Rattus norvegicus: one gene and its partners. The protein of the gene in region 1 interacts with the protein of each later gene in a biochemical or structural test. Links are inferred from orthologs where the notes say so. Each region holds a gene or a part of one and is shown in the gene's direction. Other genes may lie near its edges.

Evidence for each region.
Region 2: the proteins of Nup155 (region 1) and Nup98 form a complex in vitro, tested with the Homo sapiens proteins (2 studies listed by BioGRID). The link is inferred for Rattus norvegicus from reciprocal best matches to the Homo sapiens genes NUP155 and NUP98.
Region 3: the proteins of Nup155 (region 1) and Gle1 form a complex in vitro, tested with the Homo sapiens proteins (2 studies listed by BioGRID). The link is inferred for Rattus norvegicus from reciprocal best matches to the Homo sapiens genes NUP155 and GLE1.

The regions. Positions count from the first base shown.
Region 1 is NC_086020.1:58,962,448-58,967,052, forward strand, and holds part of Nup155 (nuclear pore complex protein Nup155), read left to right. Parts: intron 1-350; coding exon 351-481; intron 482-2,141; coding exon 2,142-2,333; intron 2,334-3,232; coding exon 3,233-3,371; intron 3,372-4,187; coding exon 4,188-4,323; intron 4,324-4,605.
Region 2 is NC_086019.1:165,905,577-165,910,143, reverse strand, and holds the end of Nup98 (nuclear pore complex protein Nup98-Nup96 proprotein), read left to right. Parts: intron 1-2,359; coding exon 2,360-2,471; intron 2,472-2,557; coding exon 2,558-2,775; 3' UTR 2,776-3,739; downstream 3,740-4,567. UniProt on the Homo sapiens protein: Plays a role in the nuclear pore complex (NPC) assembly and/or maintenance. NUP98 and NUP96 are involved in the bidirectional transport across the NPC. May anchor NUP153 and TPR to the NPC.
Region 3 is NC_086021.1:33,612,919-33,617,523, forward strand, and holds part of Gle1 (mRNA export factor GLE1), read left to right. Parts: intron 1-987; coding exon 988-1,216; intron 1,217-2,624; coding exon 2,625-2,737; intron 2,738-2,884; coding exon 2,885-2,954; intron 2,955-4,605. UniProt on the Homo sapiens protein: Required for the export of mRNAs containing poly(A) tails from the nucleus into the cytoplasm. May be involved in the terminal step of the mRNA transport through the nuclear pore complex (NPC).

The DNA.
Region 1 (4,605 bases):
GCCTTCTACAAGGCCCTCTAAGCTATTGTTTTAGTGGCACTGCTGGGTGCAGTCTGAATGTCCATTGGGTGGGACTGTTGGATGTGGCATTCTTAAGAAATGAGACACAGGCACTACAGTGTTTTTATTTTCCTTGTCAAATGCAAATGAATTTGCATATGCAAATGTTTTCATGTGTATTCATGCTAGTGTATTTCATGGGAATGAAAACATGAATGAATGCCCCCATTGTCTGTAGTGGAGGCAGGGGAGACGTGGGGATGTCACTCTTAGCTATGCTGTATTTGACGTGAAGAAGCAGTTTGCCTTGTGTCATTTGATAAAATATCATAATTGTATTTTGTCATTAGAGGCTCAACTGAGTGAGAAGATTTCACTTCAGGCAATCCAGCAGCTAGTTAGAAAATCGTACCAAGCTCTGGCTTTGTGGAAACTCCTTTGTGAACATCAGTTTACTGTCATTGTAGGAGAACTTCAAAAGGTGAGGTGGCTTTTTGTCCTTCAGGGTTATTTAATACTCAAAATGCTTATTTCTTTTTTAAGTTTATGTGTGTTGTATGTATGTTGTGGCACATGCCTTTGAGGCGGCGGATCTTTCTAAATTGTAGGCCAGCTTGGTATACATAATGAATTAGCTCCGGGTCCGCCAGAGCTGTGTAGGGATAACTCCATCTCAAACTAAATAAATAAATGAAATACAATATTGATGCATGTGTGTGTTCTGCCTATATTTTTGTAAGAGCATGAAATGCCTGCCTGGTGGTGCCCAAAGAAGCCATCAGGTCCCCTTGTGCTGTCATCTTCCATGTGCATGCTGGGAATTGAGCCTGGGTCCTCTGTAAGAGCAGCTCTACTGACTGCTGAGCGGCCTACCCAGTCCCCACAGTTGCAAAGTGAAAAACTGATCTCCAGTTCTCTTTCCCAGTGGCCAGAGAGTGGCTAGGGATGTTGTTTAGTCTTCCTTGATTTTTTTTTTTTACATAAACTTTTGTTTTCCCCTTTTTAAAATGTGAAGCTCTTCTATTTAGTTGATGAAAGCCATCTTATTTTTTATTCCAGGTAAGATGTTTTGGTTTTTATTGGATTATAAACTTAGGATAGGAACTTCATAGCCTCTGTGTCGTTTGTGATCTGTCTTCAAACCTTCCTTGCCTTCCATTACTAATTATGTGCTCAAGGAATGCAAATTAGATATTTCCTCCAAAACTTGCACTATTTTGTAGATATTTTTGTTGAAATTTAAGAAAAACATCTATCACTATAAAAATACGTACTGGACTATAAATGACCCTACACTTTAGAGCTATACCTTAGCAAGAGCATTTATGTAAAATGCAGGTCAAATTCATGCATCTAATTCTGGAATTGCAACATTATTTAGGAAAAACAAAGCGGGGTTGGGGATTTAGCTCAGTGGTAGAGCGCTTGCCTCGCAAGCGCAAGGCTCTGGGTTCAGTCCCCAGCTCCGAAAAAAAAAAAAAAGAAAAAAGAAGAAGGAAAAACAAAGCACAAGATTCTTTTTGTCTGATCATGAGACAGGATCTCACTATGTCGCTCTGACTATCCCGGAACTGAAGGGTGTTCTCCAGGCTGGCCTCCGTCTCACAGAGGTCTGCCTGCCTGAACCTCCAGGTGCTGACACATGGCCGGCCAGAGGTTTACATGTAGCCTAGTGAAGGTTCTTCCCAATGACCAAAGTGTCCTGATACTAGTGCTGACTCTGCCTTGATCTAACTTTTCTCATACATAAAGCCAGAGGTTTGAATTAAACCTTCTAGAGGCTAACTGCATCCTTATATGATTTTATTGCAGCTTTTTTGCAGAGCTATGTCAGTGTTTGGTGTATTTTCTTTGTCAGTGCTAGGAAGCAAACCCCAGCCCTATTCTTATTTAAATTAGAGTCTATTGATAGAGTCTTTTATTACAAATGAAATTTCGGCATGCTGGCTCATAACTTTAATGCTAACATTTGGGATTCTAGGCAGGTAGATTTATGTTTAAGGCCAGCCATATCTACATAGTAAGTTCTAGGCCACAAGTGCTACCTCATGAGGCCCTGTCCCAAAAAACAAACAAATTTTACTTTGTGAGGAAATAAAGTATTCTTTGATTTTGATGAAAGGTTTTCTCTCTCTTTCTAGGAATTTCAAGAGCAGCTGAAGATCACTACCTTTAAGGATCTGGTAATCAGGGACAAAGAGGTCACTGGAGCACTAATTGCTTCTCTCATCAACTGCTACATCAGAGACAATGCTGCTGTAGATGGCATTAGTTTACATCTGCAGGACACCTGTCCGCTTCTGTATAGCACAGATGATGCAGTTTGTTCCAAGGTTTGTGTCACTGCTTCTTCAGTGTTTTTATATGTGTGGTTTCATAATGATGAGTGGGAATGGAGAATCATAATGATCTTTCCTCATATCACCTCAGGATCAGTTCTTAATGTGTTACAGTGTCAGAATCCTCAACTGAGACATGGGTTGAAGGACATGGTTTCTTAAACATACATGCATACTCCTTTAAGTGTTACATTTTGACTCTTTGGCAGTATGTGTTGGCCATGGTTTAAGACAAAGCATATAGGACTGGACAGTAGTGATTTGGGTTCTGTGGTTAAGAGCACAGACTGTTTATCCAGAGGACCCAGGTTCAACTACCACCACCCATATGGCAGCTAGTATTGTCTGTAAAACCAGTCCCAAGGGTTCTGCTGCCCTGCCCTGACATCCATGGGCATCAGGATCGTGCTACACAGACATACATGCAAGCAAAACACCCACACACATAAAGTCTAAAAAGGTCAAAGTTAGCAATTTAGGAAAAATCACTTAATTTAGTAATTAAGAAAATTGGAGTTTGTTTCCTTCCTTAAAAAGTAAGGAAAGTCACTAAAACGTTAAGTAAAATTTGGAGTGAATCAAAGTTAATGAGGCAATTCTTATTGATCCTTTCCTACAGGTGAAAAAAAATTAAGTGTCACATGATGATCTGCCTGCTGACCAATAATGTATTGACTAGGCAAGAACATTCCCAGACAAGGCTCTCTGGGAAAGACTAGCTAGGATTATTTTGGTCAAAATCTTTTCTGCCTAAAAGTAAGAAGTAAGTTTGTAGAATTTTTATTTATAATGATGATAAGCACATGTACATTTAGTCAGATCCGCTAAGCATACGGACAGCACCGTCTGCCTGCTTGGCTTTGCCTCTGTTTACACTTGTGTCCTCTCTTTAGGCAAATGAACTTCTTCAGCGTTCCCGGCAAGTTCAGAGTAAGAGCGAGAGAGAGAGGATGTTGAGGGAGTCTCTGAAGGAGTACCAGAAAATCAGCAACCAAGTAGACCTCCCCAGTGTGTGTGCTCAGTATCGGCAAGGTGAGAACCAAATCCTTTTGTCTTTTTTTTTTTTTTTTTTTTGGTTCTTTTTTTCGGAGCTGGGGACCGAACCCAGGGCCTTGCGCTTCCTAGGCAAGCGCTCTACCACTGAGCTAAATCCCCAACCCCCTTCTTTGTCTTCTTTAAGTGAGAGGACACAAGGCCATGTGTGAACACAGCACAGTGATCTAGAGACTACTCAGAGGCCAGTTTTCTAGCGTCTGTGACCACAGTGACACTTTAAATTGTGAGGTTGCTTTCATTTATTTTTTCCTTTTCATCCTGAAGAGTAAACTAGCCTCTGTACATGTGAGACAGTGCTCGTTTATTTTTTTGAGACAGTCTTCCATGTACCTCAGGCTGGCCCTGAACTGATCTCCTTGTAGTCACAGATAGCCTTCAGCCTCTGATCTTTCTGCCTCCCCCTCCAAAGCCTGAGATTGTATACATGTTCCTGTTTCTGGCTAATATAGTTTGAGTTTCAGTTCTTTTTAAGCCACACTACTAAAGTATACTTAATTTTTAAATGCCTAACATTTTTGTCTAACTTTAAAAGTAAAAACTATAACTATCAGCACAGATTTAAATTACAAGTTTTTTCTCTGATACTTGTTTGTTATTTTATATATAAAGGTTTTTTCCAAGAAAAATATGTGCTTTCTAGCCAGATTAGACCCTTCTTTCCATAATCACATCAGAAATATTTTCTAATAGAAATACAGCATTCCATTCTTGGTTCCTTTCTATGTCTGCTAAGGAAAACATGTGCAGCTTAGTAGTCAGCTCTGAGCCCTTGGCCTTTGTCTTTCCCATCAGTGCGCTTTTATGAGGGTGTGGTGGAACTGTCTCTTACTGCTGCGGAGAAGAAAGATCCTCAGGGTCTTGGACTCCATTTCTATAAGCATGGGGAACCGGAAGAGGATGTGGTTGGTCTTCAGACTTTCCAAGAGAGGTGAGTCCTCAACCCTGGGCTGATTGTTGGGATTTTAAGAGACAGATCTCTCTTTGTATAAAATCTTTATCGATAATATAGGAAAAGAACTTTTCAAGTACAACTTTTATAAAATTTAACTCTGTTCTCAGTTAAAGGGAACTGGGTTTTTAGGGGAGGGGGAAAAAAAGAACTGGGTTTTTATCAAGTCCTGGATCCAGGTTATAATTTCTAGCCTATATGTAAGATTTTAGCCTTCTGAAAATTGAGAAAGCACTTACAAGTGTGTTGTGTGTGTATACA
Region 2 (4,567 bases), on another chromosome or scaffold:
GGCAACGAGCACCGTTAGCAGCTAAACCATCTCAATAGCTAGCTCTGCTGCTTTCCCCCTCAGAAGTGTGAGTTACTCTCTCTTCCCAAAACAGGGTACACTGCCAAACCATGCCGTGACCTTTTCTGTTGAGTATAGAAGTTCAGAGCTCAAAAGTCTCAGGTCAGACTATTAGGTTTCCCACACTGACTAAGTAATGAAAGTTGATTAAGCCTTCTCATTCTTTCCCAGGAGGAGTGGAGTGAAAGCTAGAGTAGCCTGTGCATAGATATAGCATGTATCTAACAGGGTCTTCATGAAGGTTAAACAAAATAGGCACAAGACTACCTTACCTTTACTAAAATCTTGATAACAGTTCCTGTTTTTATCCATTTCTGATTAATAGCCCTAAGCCAGGTACATAGTGGCATATTTTAGTAGTCACTGAAGAAACATTTCTAGTTGAAATCAGTTCATTTATGCAGTATAGTCATTAAGAACCCAAAATATGCTGAGGACTGTGGATTTGGGAGCTACTGGGGTAAACAGCACGTTTTTTCCTTACTGATTCAGTGGGGAAGACTGAGTAAGCCAGCCATACTACAGAGTAAAGGAAAAGATTGCCATGGGTTGTTGATTATATGCCACTCAGAGTGTAGCTCGGTATTCATAATCATAACCGAATGAAACGCACCCCTCACTTAAAATCCAGTCTGGAGCTGGAGAGATGGCTCAGTGGTTAAAATCACTTGCTGCCCTTGCAGAGGTTCAAGTCTTAGTACCCCCATGGTGGCTCATAGACATTAGCCAGTTCCAGGAGATCCAGTGCCCTCTTCTGCCCTCATACATGCTGATAAACATCATGCACAAAATATTATCTTTAACTTTCCCCTTCTGTTTCGCTGTTTTCCTCTTTACCGCATGTGTTGCACCTTACAGGGCTTAGCTGTTTCTTTTACAAACTTGACGTGTTTTTAGAAAGGTCTCAGCTGACAAATGGCCTACTTAAGGAAGTTTCCCCTACTTTGAAACAGACATCTGGTTTCTTTATTTCCGCAGCTTACAATTCTTTGAGGTTTTCTTGTCTGTAAAATTCAAGCAAAGATAGCAGAGGGTAAGAGTAGTTTGTGTTTAGGGATAAATTAGTGAATTCTGCAAGCCCTCTTCAAAGTGAGTTCTAGCCACTTGTAACCAAGCATGGTGACCTGAGTTCAGTCTCCAAAACTCACATAGTGAAAGGAGACATCCTTTGACCTGGTGACAGGAGAAAAGTAAATCTGGTTTGTTTTTAATGTCTCTGACAAGGTGTGGTGCTACATGCCTATAATATGCCATGATGAAACAAGAGGGTAATGGCAACTTTGGGACCAGCCTGGAATATACAAGTTCTAGGCCAGTTGGGGCTACATATCAAGACCGGATCTCAAAAAAACAAATGATTGGGCTGGAGAGATGGGTCAGTGGTTAAGCCACTGACTGCTCTTCCAGAGAGGTCTGAGTTCAAATCCCAGCAACCACATGGTGGCTCACAACCATCTGTAATGAGATATGATGCCCTCTTCTGGTGTGTCCGAAGACAGATACGGTGTACTTATATATAATAAATAAATCTTTAAAAAAAAAAACAAAAAACAACCCAACACCATGATTATAGAGAGTAACACAGTAGTGTGGCCAAGCTCCTAAGGTGTTTAAGGTGAGAAGTAATGGTGGTCCAAGCTTCAACAAGGAGTGTGGCACAGGAACGGAAGTTTGGTGTTGGGCTAGAACTGAGGACTTAGAAATCAATACATTGACTATAGTTGGAACCGTAGGGATGGATCAGGAGAGTGTATAAATGAGTAGGTCCTGCACTGTTTTAGAAATGGCTGTGACTTTAGAATAAGGAGTTGTAAATTAAATGCTGGTTTAAGTGTCACCTCTTACTACATGTGTGTTGCTGAGTGTCATACTATGTGTCTGAATCAGATGTATCCTATGTTTTTTGGTGTTGTGTAAAAATTATGTGACTTGTGAATCATATCTCAGGACCTGTCCAGCCCAAGGCTCTGTGTTCACTCCCTCATGTTCACTGTTAGTACCTTGCCTTAGCAACTAGGTGGTATGGTGGTAGCGTGGGCACTGCCACCAGCTCTTGGGTTTTCTCCCCTCCTATCATTGTCCTTAGGATTGTGTGTAATCTGTGAGTGGGATTGAGGTATACATGGGGCTTTTTGTTTTGGTGGTGGTAGTGTTTTGGTTTTGTTATTTGAGACAGGGTTTCTGTTTATAGCCCTGGCTGTCTTGAAACTCATTCCGTAGACCATGCATTGAAGTGCTGAGATGGAGGCATGTGAGGTAGAGGTTTGTTTTGTCCTTACTGGTTTCTGTTTTCCTGTAGGTGGATTGCTCAGGCTATGAACTAGAGCACTTACATACCAAAGTGACTTCACTGTGTAACCGGATAGAGCAGATTCCGTGCTACAATGCCAAGGATCGCCTGGCTCAGTCAGGTAAACATGTGGGCTCTGCTTGCTCATGGCCGTTACCCCGACACCAGTGCCTTGTTCTCAGTACTCACTCTGGTATTTCTCTCTAGATATGGCCAAGCGGGTAGCCAACTTACTGCGGGTAGTTCTGAGCCTTCAGCACACTCCTGACGCCACCTCCAACTCCACTCCGGACCCTCAGCGAGTCCCTTTGCGTCTTTTGGCTCCCCACATTGGCAGGCTCCCTATGCCTGAGGACTATGCCTTGGAGGAACTGCGAGGCCTTACCCAGTCCTACCTTCGAGAACTGACTGTTGGGAGCCAATGAGCCTGGCTCCTGCCCATCCGCACTCGCCACCACAGTCTCCCACATTGTTTTAATTGACACTCTGCCAATCTCTGGGAGTCCTCCGCTCCTCTTCGCTGCCCTTCGCAGCATCCTCTAGTTATTCAGGGGTTTTCATAATACTGAGCATATCCTACCATAGCTCATAAGGGCTTCTGGAACAGCAACAACAAAAAACACAGGTCTCCATTGATCAACCTCAAGACCATTCAGTTTTTTTCTTTTGAAAAATGGTCAATAAAACCTCTTTGGCAGAACCTCCCAAAACCCAGGGAATTCTTTTCCACACCCAGAGTTCTGACTCTCACCCCAGATATATGACTGACTGACCTTCCCTTACTACAGATTTGTCTCTCAAGTAGATTTCTCAGTTAACAGTGTGTTTGGGAATCAAGAGAGTTGGACCTTGTTCTTTGACATATTTAAGAAAGAAGGGCTGTCTACCATGGAGGCGGAGATCTTCAAGGCTTTTACTCATGCCTTGTATATCCTTTGGACACCATGCTATCATGTGCAGTGGCCCCAAGCTACAGAGAACAACTCTTGAGAAGCCCCAGAACTGCTCTGACCCTTGATCATCAGTCATTTTCCTCGATTTGCCAGAGGAGTTTAGATGAAGAATGTCAAGGGTGTTCCTCCCTGCCCTCCCATCTAGCCAAGAACATTTCTCAGAAGGTAAAGCTGTCACTGCGACAGGTCTGGCTGGGCCCAGGGGCAGATAGGGAAGGCCTTCACCACATTGCTGCTGGCTATGGGAAGTCCCAGGCACTAGCCTGAAAGAGCGGATATTTGGGGCTGTCACAGACAATATGGCCACCCCTGGGTCTTTATGCATGAAGATTATGTAAAGGTTTTTATTAAAAAATATATATATAAATGATCTAGATTATTTTCCTCTTTCTGAAGTACTTTCTTAAAAAAAAAATAAAATGAAATGTTTATAGTATTCCTGGTGGTTTTGTCTTTGTGTTTTGGGAACTCTGGAATCTTTAAGAAACAGATCCTGGGCTGGGGATTTAGCTCAGTGGTAGAGCGCTTACCTAGGAAGCGCAAGGCCCTGGGTTCGGTCCCCAGCTCCGAAAAAAAGAACCAAAAAAAAAGAAAGAAACAGATCCTAAGTTAAGAGAACAAGGGGGCTGAGGAGTGAGTTCAGCATATCAGAGCACTAACCACACAAGCCTGACACCCCAAGTTCACTTCTCAGAATCTTCATAAAAAGGCAAGCTGTTAGCACACCCCTGTAATCCCAGAGCGCTGTATGTGTCTGGCAGCACTCTCCAAGGACTTTTTACATGTATACAGTGTATTTGTCATACCTATCACTCCCACTCTCAATTCTCAGCATTATGGTTGTTTTTGTTTTGTCTGTCTGAGTTTATTACTATTTTACGTGTGTTGTGGTTTACTTGTATGTATATCTGTTCACCACATATGTGCCTAGTGCCTGTGGAAGCCAGAGGGCATCAGATCTCAAGAACTGGAATTAGGAACAGTTACGAGCCACTTTAAGGGTGCCGAGAATCAAACCTGGGTCCTCTTGGAGGAGCAGCCAGTGTTCTTAGCCACTAACCCATCTTCCAGCCCCATTGTGTCAGAACTCTTGTTAGGGGATGGAGACAAGCGACACCCTGGAAACTGACCTGCCATCTCGCCTGGGGAAGGCAGCATGTCATCAGGAACTACAGACCTACCTCAAAGAGGAGGGAGGCAGTAATAATTCCCACATTGTCCTGAACTTGAGCACACATGACACTCACAAATGAATACTGGACAG
Region 3 (4,605 bases), on another chromosome or scaffold:
CACACACACACACACACACACACACACACACACAAACTAACCACCAACCACACCCTTTTACCAAAAAAGCTGAAATACAACTTTCAAATACTTATGAATGATTTACACTAATAGAAGCTTTAAAATGACAACTTTCTTAAAAAAAAAAAAAAAAAAGATTTCTTTCTTTATTATATATAAGTACACACCAGAAGAGGGCATCAGCTCTCATTACAGATGGTTGTGAGCCATTATCTGAGATTCGAACTCAGGCCCTCTGCAAAATCAGCACATGCTTCTCACTGCTGAGCCATTTCTCTAGCCCACTGTTGGGTTTTTTGTTTGTTTTTTGATTTGTATTTTTGTTGTTGTTTTGTTATAGGATCTTACTGTGTAGCTCAACATGACTTGGGACTTAAGGCGTTGTTCCAAGGATTGCTAGCTGCTATTACTGGTATATGACACAGTATATTTGTCACAGGTTTTTTAAAAAAGACTGCTCTGAGCAGTGTTGCTGAAAGCTTCGAAACGTCCTGGGTGGCTGCTGTGGGGGTGGTGACTGTGCTAAACCTTCTGATGTTATGTTGTATGTGTGCATGTTTAGAAATCAGAGAATTTTGTAGGGTCAGTGCTCTCCTCTCTCTATGGGGGGGTTCCAGGTATCAAATTCAGGGTGTCATAAGGGTTGTGAAGTCTCTTTCTCTCTCTCTCTCTCTCTCTCTCTCTCTCTCTCAACCGAGACTCACTAGCCCTGGCTGGTCTCGGAATTGCAGCAATCTTCCTGCCTCTGCCTCTCAGGGGGTAGGATTTCGGCATGAGCCACCCTCACTCCCAGCTCTTTAACAGTGACTCCTTCAGAGAACAGGAAATTAGTAGGTGCCAACGTTTGACCCTGTGTACTCACTGACTCAGCTGGCCCACTTTAGAAATGGACTGTGTGTGGTATGACTTAGCCCCACAGGATCTATCTAGGAAGTCAGTGGTAACTATTGTCTCTCACTCTGACAGAGTGGCTATCCCACAGCAGAGAACCAAGCTGAGGCTGAGCGAGTCCTGCAGGAAATGCGGGACCTCCTCTCAAATTTGGAGCAGGAGATCACCAGAGCCTCTGAAATGAAGAAGAAAGATGAAGAAGAGGCTCGGGTCAAGCTGCAGGAGTCACAGGTGCAGCAGGGGCCAGGGGCTCCCACCAAGACCTCTGCACCCAGCCCAAGCCTAGTAGGGACACAGAGTGAAGGTGGGTTGTGGTGTGGATGCAGTCCTTTAACTGGGCTAGGTGTTAGGATATTAAAAAAAAAAAAAAAGCAAAAGCAAATGTGACAAACGTGAAGGTGTCACACTACAGGACCACCCAGTTCATCAGAACTCTTGCCTAATGTGTTACATACAGTTTTGGTTGATCTGGAGCCAATTCTAGATTCTGCCATGTTCCCCAGGACTCAGAAAGCCTGTCTACATCTAGTGAGAGTGGTGTTATAAATATCACTACTGCTTGAGCATTTGTTTGTTTGGTTCGGGTTTTTGAGACAGGGTATTTTTGGTGTGTAGCCCTGACCATCCTGGAACTTACTTTGTGACTAGGCTGGCCTTGAACTCATAGAGATCCCCTGCTTGTGATCCCTGAGTGCAAGGATTAAAGGTATACACCACCATATTTTATTTTGAAAGAATTGCTTAAGATTTACTCGTTTTTGTCTTATGTGCATGAGTGTTTGCCTGCGTGTATCTATGTGTACTACATGTGTGCCCGGTGCTCACAGAGGCCAGAAGAGAGCACTTAAGGTACAGGGAGTTTTGAGCCACCTTGTGGCTGCTGGGATCCAGTAGCTACGCTCTTTCTTCAATAAGAATAGCAACTGTTCTTTAAAAAGAGTTTCAGAGGATTGTATGTAATGTGTGAATCTGCTGAACTTCAATCTCTCCAACCCCACTTCTATGTACTTTAAATAATAGTGCAGCTACCCCTGTTTAATATGTTCGAGGATCTGTAGTGACAGTTTTGGAGTTTTGGTTTCTTTAAAACACAAAAATAGGTTTTTGTTCTAATCCCAGGTGTGGAATCTAGGACTGCTTCATATCGTCCACAGCAGCTGACTATGATTTTGCCAGCTATAGATAGTTTCTGTGACTGTGTAATGTCTGGGGTTCTGGGGACTTTTTTCTAAGGGTTCATAACTGCTAGGGCCCTGAGGTGGGGAGGTTCTGGTTGTTGTTGGCTATGGTTTGTTAAGTAGTTGCGTCCCAAATTAGATCTCTTGCTGGTGAAGATCAAACTTGCCCCAAAGAACTCAACACTCCTTATCAGCACGAAGTAGTCTAATGATAACATCCCCTCTTTCTGGCCCCTGACTTTATTCAGGGATCTCTTTCCTTTCCACTCTATCCTTTTTTTATCCTATCTATTGTTAGGGGTTGGAAGAATGGAAGAAAGAACCACCCCCACGACCCAATGTAGCAAAAGTCTGGCCACAGAAATGGACAGAGCAGTGTGTCTTTCTGTGCCTGTTTCTTGTTAAATGGAAAGAGTGTTAGTGTCTGCTCTGTAGGGTGACCGTGACACCGAAGCAGCCGGTGCATAGTGTAGTCCTAGTTCAGACACCATGTTGCATAAGCTCCCTGCCACTAAGGCCTGTCTTTGTTCTCAGACCTGCAGGTGAAGGTACAGGATAGTACGATGCAGTGGTACCAGCAACTTCAGGATGCTTCTGCCAAATGCGTGTTGGCCTTTGAGGACCTGACCAGCAGCAAGGACAGTCAGGTACGGGAGAAATCGGGTGGCCAAAATTTTGGTGGTGCCTGGCAGCCTGATGTTCTAGCAACGTACTTGGTCTATCATATTCCCTCATTCTAAGCAAGTGCTCAGCTCTGCACAAGCCCACTTAACAAGTAACCATTCTCTTGGTAGATCAAAAAGATAAAGATGGACCTGCAGAAGGCAGCCACCATCCCAGTGAGCCAGATCTCCACCATCGCAGGTGGGTCAGATGGGTGAGAATATTGTCCTTCACTTGGTTGTCTTAGTTTTGCAACCTTCGATAGTGTTTGTTCAGGGCTGGAGAATGTGACTTAGTGGTGTGGCAATTGACAAGTATGTGCAAGGGCCCAGGTTCCATCTCCACTAACACACACACACACACACACACACACACACACACACGCGCACACACACACACACACATATTTCAAATGTATGTTACATTCCTACTGTTTTGTTTTTCTTCTTTAAACAGAGCTGGGTCTAGTAGTATAGGCCCTTAATCCCAGCTGGTTGAGGGAAGGCAGAGGCTGTGGTGTCACAAGTTCAAGTACAGCCTGTGTGAAGTGCAACTCAGTGAGACACTTAAAAGGAGAAAGCCAGAAGCCCCTGGGCTGGAGCTATTGTTGAACACTCAGGTGCATACTAGGCCTAGCTAACTGAATCCTCAGTACCACAGAAAAGGAAAAAGGGTTTAAAAGATTTATTTATGGGGCTGGGGATTTAGCTCAGTGGTAGAGCGCTTACCTAGGAAGCGCAAGGCCCTGGGTTCGGTCCCCAGCTCCGAAAAAAAAGAACCAAAAAAAAAAAAAAGATTTATTTATTTATTATATATGAGTACATTGTCGCTGTCGGCAGACACACCAGAAGAGGGCATCGGATCCATTACAGATGGTTGTGAGGGACCATGTGGTTGCTGGGAATTGAACTCAGGACCTCTGGAAGAGCAGTCACTGCTCTTAACCTCTGAGCCATCTCTCCAGCCCGAGCTCAAATAATTTTATTGAGCAGCTGTAGGTTGGGGTGCTGGGGGAGGTGCTGAGGAAGTACTGAGGGGACAAAGAAACCACATGCAAAGGCCATTGACAAATTTTTTTTTTTTTTTTTTTTTGGCTTTAGAGGTTGAAGATTTGGCCTAGTGTCTTCTACCACCCAACTACTAATTCTGATCTGTGTGTTATTGAGGTAGTAGACCACTGTAGCTCAGGCTTTCCTTGAATTCATCTTAGCCTTCTGGGTGTTCTTTTTTTTTTTTTTTTTCTCGAGCTAGGGACCAAACCCGGGCCTTGGGCTTGCTAGGCAAGCGCTCTACCACTGAGCTAAATCCCCAACCCCCCTTCTGGGTGTTCTTGAGTTCAGACATGTGCCATATCACACTGGGCTTCTGTGAAGTCTGTGTGTGACTGAGTGTGAGTGCAGGTGCCTGGGGAGGCCAGAAGAGGGCGCTGATCCCATGGAGTCTGTGAGCTGCCTCATGTGGGTGCTGGGAATGAGCTCTGGCCCTCATGCTCTTAACCACTGAGCCATCTTTCAGCCTTGATTCATTTTTTCATAAGTTAGAGATTAATAGTAAATTATTTATTTTATTTTTTTTAAAGATTTATTTATTACATATAAGTACACTGTAACTGTCTTCAGACACCAGACGAGGGCATCGGATCCCATTACAGATGGCTGTGAGCCACCATGTGGTTGCTGGGATTTGAACTTAGGACCTCTGGAAGAGCAGTCAGTGCTCTTAACCACTGAGCCACCTCTCAGGATAGTAAATTATTTATAATGATTTAAATAATCACTGGGTGATTGTTTTGGAGTAGGGTCTTACTACATCGCCTTATATGTTCTGGATCTTACTCTGTAGATCATCTAGG